Bombyx mori: one gene and its partner. The protein of the gene in region 1 purifies or fractionates together with the protein of each later gene. This does not show direct contact. Links are inferred from orthologs where the notes say so. Each region holds a gene or a part of one and is shown on either strand. Other genes may lie near its edges. The genes, in order: protein patched and sonic hedgehog protein.

The links.
Region 2: the proteins of protein patched (region 1) and sonic hedgehog protein purify together in Drosophila melanogaster (affinity purification with western blotting; 3 studies listed by BioGRID). This does not show direct contact. The link is inferred for Bombyx mori from reciprocal best matches to the Drosophila melanogaster genes ptc and hh.

What each region holds. Positions count from the first base shown.
Region 1 is NC_085111.1:13,396,922-13,400,753, reverse strand, and holds part of protein patched, read left to right. Parts: coding exon 1-135; intron 136-257; coding exon 258-465; intron 466-2,054; coding exon 2,055-2,324; intron 2,325-3,598; coding exon 3,599-3,739; intron 3,740-3,832. UniProt on the Drosophila melanogaster protein: Segmentation polarity protein. Acts as a receptor for the hedgehog protein (hh). Associates with the smoothened protein (SMO) to transduce the hedgehog signal leading to the activation of wingless, decapentaplegic and patched itself.
Region 2 is NC_085115.1:6,252,197-6,256,671, reverse strand, and holds the start of sonic hedgehog protein, read right to left. Parts: upstream 3,087-4,475; 5' UTR 3,038-3,086; coding exon 2,603-3,037; intron 1-2,602.

The DNA of each region.
Region 1 (3,832 bases):
CAGCATACCTAACTTCGAGGCTTATCACATCGAGAAGATCTTCGAAAACATCATTCCTTGCGCCATCATTACACCACTAGACTGTTTCTGGGAAGGCTCAAAACTCCTCGGACCCGATTATCCTATTTACGTTCCGTGAGTATAAAAATATCGAATCTTGAAATTATTTTTAAAAATCGATTGTGGATTCTTCGAATTATTCGAAATTATTTGGAAGTAACAGATAACAAAACGTTCTGTTTTTTTTTCCGTTTCAGTAATCTCAAACAAAAGCTACAATGGACGCATTTGAACCCGCAAGAAGTTTTAGAAGAAGTAAAGCAATTGAAGTTTCAGTTTCCTTACGGGACGGTAGAAGCGTACATGAAGAGAGCTGGTATCACCTCCGCTTACATGAAGAAGCCTTGCTTGGACCCAAACGACGCGCACTGCCCAAAAACGGCTCCCAACAAAAAATCGCGACATGTAAGTGTTGTTTTCAAATAATAATCGCCACGTTCTATTTGCAGTCCTCTTTCTGCCTCATTGTTAACGAAACGCTTTCAGTTAAATTGCGAACATACTTCTCGTGTCTTTGTAAACATTCCAGTTAGCATATATTATTTTGTGTGTCGAATATTTAGTTCGCTACGCTTGTTCGAGACTCACGATTGATAACCATTACGAGAACCTCCGGTCCTTTTACGGAGACTTCAATTTACGACAGTTTTATTAGCGCATAAATAAAACGTGTATAGAGAACATGAAAAATAAAACATCTTTATCGAAGCTAAACGCATAAACTTTAAATACGTTCCATAATAATAAAATATTTTTGGAAACGGTAATAAGGCGGGATGAAAGCGATCGCCGGCGGGCAGACGCAGCGACTACCTGCCGCGGCCGGCGCGCCTCCGAGAAAGTTACGTTCGTCTCGCGTGTGATACGATACCATCACGCGGAAACTCTCGTTTCGCAATCGAGCCCTCACTTACTGCCCATCGATTTTGACGTTGCAGTTCAAAGAACGCGTTACAATTCATTTAGAAAAAAAAGCGGTCGCAAGTTGCTACGGATACAAAATGTCTGTAACTTTTTTTTCCCCGAACTATTCTGATAGCCTTGAGAGGCTATATCAGCTTCTTGACGTGTAGGTGAGCTCACGGGGCTCAAACCGGGTGTGTTGCTAACACTGGCCCTAGCAAGAGCAGTGCTTCGCAGAATCTACCGGTGGATCGGAAACGCGACCCACTGAGAAGATTGTCTCTAACAAACAGCGATTTCGGCTTGCATTGATTGGGGTTCGTTTTTTTGAGTGCGATGGCAGTGTGCAGCGTCGCCACCCACGTTCGCTCGGGGGCCGGTCGGACGCGCATTGTTCGCTGCGCCGGACCGCGCGGCATTATACGGGTGCATTGTGCACGCTTCAATGGGCCTCGTTTGCCGCCGCCGTACCCACTCACAATGACACTATTATATCAATAATGCTCACCACCCAACCTACCTACACCTACTTCCACGGAAACCTCATAAATTTCATTCCTAACTTTGTTTTCTTGGACTTGTCGTGACCGCGGACTCTTCATTTGACGACAAGTTACTCAGAATTTTCTCAAACAATGAATTATACGTAGCCCAGCGGGTACTAAAAAATGTTCGAAAAATCTTTTTTTTTTTTTAATTGGTTATAAATTATTTAAGATTCTTATATTGAACGCTTTTTATTTCCTACCTATGCTGATGGCCTTGAGAAGCTATATCAGCTTCGCCCTAACGTGTAGATGAGCTCACGGGGCCGAAACCGGAGTGTTGCTAACACTGGCCATAGCAAGAGCAGTGCTTCCCTGAATCTACCACCGGATCGGAAACGCGACCCACTGAGAAGATCCGGCGAGAAACTCAGTGGGCTGTGTCTATAAGTTAATTCGCTCGTCGAGCCCTTCGTCGCAAGCGACGGGTTCGACGAGGACGGTGACCGGTGCTTGTGGTTCCTAAAAGCACCGTTAATGGATCGGGAGGATCCGTAATGAGAATTGAACGCGTATTTTGATATAAAGATAACGTTATTGTTCTAGGTTCCGGATGTGGCAGCAGAGTTGTCTCACGGCTGTTACGGCTTCGCAGCAGCGTACATGCACTGGCCGGAGCAGCTGATAGTAGGAGGCGCTACCAGGAATTCCACTTCGGTGCTGAGGAGTGCGAAGGCCCTGCAGACGGTCGTACAGCTGATGGGAGAACGAGAGATGTACGAGTATTGGGCAGATCACTACAAAGTGCACCACGTTGGGTGGACGCAAGAGAAAGCCGCCGTTGTACTCGACTCCTGGCAGAGAAAGTTCGCTGCAGTAAGTTTAACGACTACATTAACTATACGAGTATTAACTATATTTAACCAAATTGACATTTGCTATAATTTGATGAAGTAACTAATTTAATATTTAACTTAATATATAACTAATTTAATTTTTGGTAGGCAGCGGCTTAGCTCTGCCCCTGGCATTGCTGACGTCCATGAGCGACGGTGACCACTTACCATCAGGTGGGCCGTATGCTCGTCTGCCTACAAAGGCAATAAAAAAAAAAAAAAAACTTCATAGCATTTTGTTTTAAGAAATTTAATTTAATATGTTGTCAAATGTTAGCTTACAAAAAAATAAAATGTAAAAATCGCAAAAGAACACCCTCTATTTCTGTCGCGAAGTGATCTTACGAACCGTAAAACTGATTATTACGACAAAAAAATGGAGGTAAATTATAAAAAATATTAAAAAAACATATAATTCGGATGGTACATATTACGTCATGAATGTGCAGATTATATGTATATTGTCACGAAAGCACGTGAAATATATAAAAAGACATGATTTTTATAGTCTTCATAGGCTACATTGTGTTTATTAAAACTTAGACAATCTAAATTCGCCCATAACTACTTCTATCTCAAGAATGAAATGAATTTGGTTTACTAAAATTTTATGTATTGTTTGCAAATTGACATATTGAAACCAAACTTTGACTTCAATCTCTTTAATCACGCTAAACACTAAATCTCATCAATCGGTTTGTAATTAAACAGCTGAACTGTTTTGAACTTTTTGTAAAGACGTAACAGTAATCTTCTAAATTATTTTACTATTTATTATTTACATATACTAGTGATGCCCTGGTAGTCGAAATTCGACTATAATTAATTGAAATATAAGTTTGTACACTATTATGATTCTATTGTTAAAGACTTTTATACTTATACAATCACAAATTTCGTTAAGACTACGCTATAGAAAAATATTAATAAAGACAAACAATATTTAATCTATTCTCAATTTGACCACAGACGTCAAGAACAAAAGTTTGACAATAAATAAATAGTATTCATGCGTGTGTGCGTCAAATACATGGTAGTGTGTGTAATGTTTTTTTTATTGATTTAATGTATTTTTTAGTCATAATTTAAAAAAATATTAGCATTCGACACTCCTTCTCTATGTTCTCTATAATTGTGGGATATTTCATACTCCTCCGTCCGCGCAATTTTCGTAAAAAGAGATACAAAGTTTTTCCTTCGCGTATTAATTAATTATTTAGAAAACGATGTGTTAATCGTTCACTAACATTCCAGGAGGTGCGTAAGATGACCACTTCTGGCAAAGTGTCCGCCGCCTACAGTTTCTACCCGTTCTCGTCGTCCACGCTCAACGATATTCTCGGAAAATTCTCGGAACTCTCGCTCAAGAACATTATTTTGGGATACGTGTTCATGGTGAGCTTCGTCGTGCACATACCGTACTGAAAACGTTAAGCTTTTACGGCAGTTCAACTTAATTATGAAAGGTCAAGGAATTTGATTGATTAC
Region 2 (4,475 bases), on another chromosome or scaffold:
AAAAAAAATTGAATAAAATGCCACAGTATATGAACAAGAGCTAGGTACTTATAATATAGACCACTGTAATATCGAGTATCAACGTCATAAAAGACCCCATGCAAGTAATCGAATGGCAATATGATTGACCTATAATGGGACGATATCTTATTACTAAGTGACCTAAATCGTAGTAGGGATCTATTAACGAGTAATAGACAATTCCCAACTATAACAAAAAAAATATTTCCTTTACCAAGCATTTAATATATTGCTATTTATATAAATTCAATCGTAATTTATTTTCTTTAGCTCTTATTACGTTTATATATGTATTATTATATTTCTACTTCAACTATAAGGTAAAAACATAATAATATATAAGTATCCACGGAAATTAAACATTTGATATTTTTTTGACTATATTATTTGGTCTCGACATAGCTGGTCTCTTCGAAAACATTTCTACCTACTTTAATTGCTGCCACATAGTTAGATGCGTAGATAGATCAGGATGACGGTACGTACCGAGGTTATAATACAAACATTTTACGGACAGACTACTATCATTTGACATTGACCGACCTTAATAAACGTAAATAGGACAAGAAAAGTTTGTCATCATAGTTGGAAGAGTTGAAATGTGGCTTCAAAATATTATTATATAAATATTTTTTTAAAGCTACTGACGCAAATTTATCGATAATATGTTGTAGTTAATTTTCGTTTAGTTCCTCTTTTTTGTACAAACTCAAATTACTCGGAAAATTTATAGATTGGTTTACACTTTGAGAACTGGTGAAGCACATAAATAACCATTAAAGACCTATTTAAAAGTAATATTTTAAAATTTTATATGACGCTATATGTACCATAATTCTAAAAATAAATATTTTGTGCAGAAAATAAATAAGAAATGCAACAATACCCTATAAAGTATATATATTTTATGAAAATGTATTGCAATGTACACTGTCTGTTTATTTTTACAAAATAACACCTTTGTGACTGAATCCTTTTTATTTACAAGGGAAATATCTTAGCCTGAAAATTAATAGTAGTGATAAATAGGTGTAAAACTGGTTAACATTGCGTTCGCGGCCTAATGGAATAAGTGAACAAATCGTATGCGCGAAATTCTGGAATTCCTTGCACACGTACTTAATATTGTCTTATTTAATTAATTATAAGTACGTATTCATTGGCATTTAAACTGCGCAATTCTTTGAAGGTGCCGACCATAAAATATTTTTTATTTGCCATCGATTGCCGTTTATTTAATGTAAATATTTTTCGTTCATTAGTGAAGCCGTATACTCGTTACGAACTTTTTTTTTTTTTATTGCTTAGATGAGTGGACGAGCTCACAGCCCACCTGGTGTTAAGTGGTAACTGGATTCCATAGACATCTACAACGTAAATGCGCCACGCACCTTGAGATATAAGTTCTAAGGTATCAGTACAGTTACAACGGCTGCCCCACCCTTCAAACCGAAACGCACTACTGTTTCACGGCAGAAATAGGCAGGGTGGTGGTACCCAACCGCGTGGACTCACAAGAGGTCCTACCACCAGTAATTACGCAATTTATAATTTTGCGGGTTTGATTTTTATTACACGATGTTATTCCTTCACCGTGGAAGTCAATCGTGAACGTTTGTTAAGTACGTATTTCATTCGAAAAATTGGTACCAGCCTGCGGGATTTGAACACCGGTGCATCGCTACATACGAATGCACCGGACGTCTTATCCTTTAGGCCACGACGACTTCTATTACAACTATTAACTGTGTTATAGTGCTGTTTTCGTACTATAGGTATATGTAATTGATAGTAATTATCTGCAACATCGTAAATTCCTTCATGAACATTCCATTACACAGCGGGCTATGATTGTCTTACGAATAGTTTCATATTTTAAACTGAATGACTTACTATGGAAAAAAGTTCACATACTTATACTAAATCAATCGAGTTGTAATGATTTCATTACTATTACAAATACTTTATTCAAAACAAATTAAATAATTTATCCATTATTATATGTAATATATTTATATGAAATAACATACATATAAAATAGTTTACCAGTTAGTTGTTTTCACGTTAACACAAAGCAACAATGACAACGCAAGATACTCAATGCCTTCGACACCAACTTTTATGGTGGTCATATATTCACCGAAATTGACATCGAAATTGAAAAGAATCCATCATTCATCCATTAGTCACAGAGTCAAAATATTTGTTGACAAAGCCTGCGTAATTGCAGTGCTACAATCGGCACACTCGCTACGAAGCTACCGTAACGCCCGCAATTTGTTCCCATTGTTCCTCGAGCGTAATGTTTACATCGACAATTGTCATTCTGCACTCCAGGAGATGTTTTCAAAACAGCGTATGCTTCATCAGAACTGTTGTTTTCAAGGAAATCTTAAAAGCCGTAACGGGCCATGACGTCCTCTGTAGGTACGTCTTCGTATATAATTCAAAATCTACTTTAAAACGAAGGGAACTTTTGTGGCGGGTATCGTCTATCTATGTTATAGTAGCATTTCCTTAATTTATTTTATATCTAAAATTTGTAAATGATGCAACTATAATTTTTAAATAAATTACTTACCTGAGTCATTAGACGATCAGCGCCAGTGCCTTCGTCGTCCCTAAAGTCTATATCCGGATTATAATTAGGCACTAAGTCTTTAAATCTCTCGTCATCTCTGGTGATGCGGCCCTCGGGAGGACCACTGGCGGTGTTCTTATTTTCGCTAACATTCGGATCGTGCTGGCCAAAGACAAGGGGGGTGATGCGGCGCGGTCCGTGGCGACGGTTGAAACCGCGGCCCGGGCCGCATGCCGCCGCCGCACCCAACCACAGAAGCACCAGCGAGAGCCTCATCTCGCAGACATCACTCCACACGCGCTCGACGCACGACCACCGCGCGCCGCGACTTGAGCGACACTGAGAGCAACTGCCACAACCCGACTCAACTGCACGTCCACCACCGAGCCTGAACTTGCATCCCTTGCTTGCCGCCCGACACCCATGAGCAAGCATTCCCACCACCGTTAATCTCCCACTTCACTTATAACTCGCTACCCACAGCACATTAAGCGATGACGCGCTCCCTGGGGAAATCCTATTAACCTAACGCGGACGCAATACAATATACATAATCAACTACCCTAGTTTGTGTCAAGCACGGTTATCTCATTCACGAAATGACACATTTTATGTATTTGAGGTATATAAGTAAAAAATTGAGATTTACATATGAATGTGCTTAAGATATTATAAGCCATTTTCATTTCGATTTTACTAAATGATAAAAAATCCTACTGGTATCTGTAGATGATAAATTTTTAAACAATTTACAGAGCACCTGCATTTTGAAATCGGTAGATTGATGCACAGATTGAAAAAGAAGAATGTATCTATACTAATATTATAAAGAGGAAAGATTTGTTTGTTTGTTTGTTTCGAAAATGTTCCGAAACTACTGGACCGATTTGAAAAATTATTTTTCCATTAGAAGCCGACATTGTCCCTGATGAACATAGGCTACTTTTTTTTAAAAAAATTTATTTAATTTTTTTGGTTTCATGTGTGTTTTAATGTTTCCGAAGCGAAGCGAGGGCGGGTCGCTAGTCTAATATTAATGTTATAAATTGTCAAACACAATCAATCTTGTTAATTAATCAATTCAGAAACGTAGAATGTAGTTGGCGATAAACCCCCAAAAGGCACTAACTGTTCAAACATTATGCAAAATAAACATAAATTTAACATAAGCGTATAAAAGCAGAATCATCTTGAATTGATGTGTATTTTTTTTATTATAGGCTTGTTATGTGTATTCGTTTGAATAATTTAGAAATCACGTGTTCTTAGTGCTTATGTGTTCTGAGCATGTATTTAAATATTAGAATGTGTTTAAGTTTGTATGTTATTTATTTATGAAATACACCTACCGTGATTTTCTCTGCATCACCTTTGATTGACTTAAAGACATTACCGTATACATACGTTCGAAAATGTATAAAATACATAAAGTGTATACGTTCGAAAATGTATAAAATACATAAAGTGTACTAAATAAATAAACTAAACATGATATTAAAAGTTTTTATTCGTCGCTACCGGTACATATCTACATAGTCAAGAGAGTCGGTGATCAGAAATAATCATGAATAATAATATTAAAATTATTATTTTCATAATTTTACTGATATTAATAAAATTATAATGCACTATTTTAACGTACACTCATACCCACATGTAAATTACATAATAAGGATTTAAAGAATTTGACAACTGGAAGTACCTACCCATTTAAAAAATTATAAAAATAATAATTACCCCCTATGTAATATGGAAATAAATACACGTGACATAGAGATTGTTTTTCTAAAGTAATGTTTAATATTTAAAACGAAAGATTTATTGATGATGATTATTAGAATGGAAATTAACATTAATAAATTCAATTTGATGA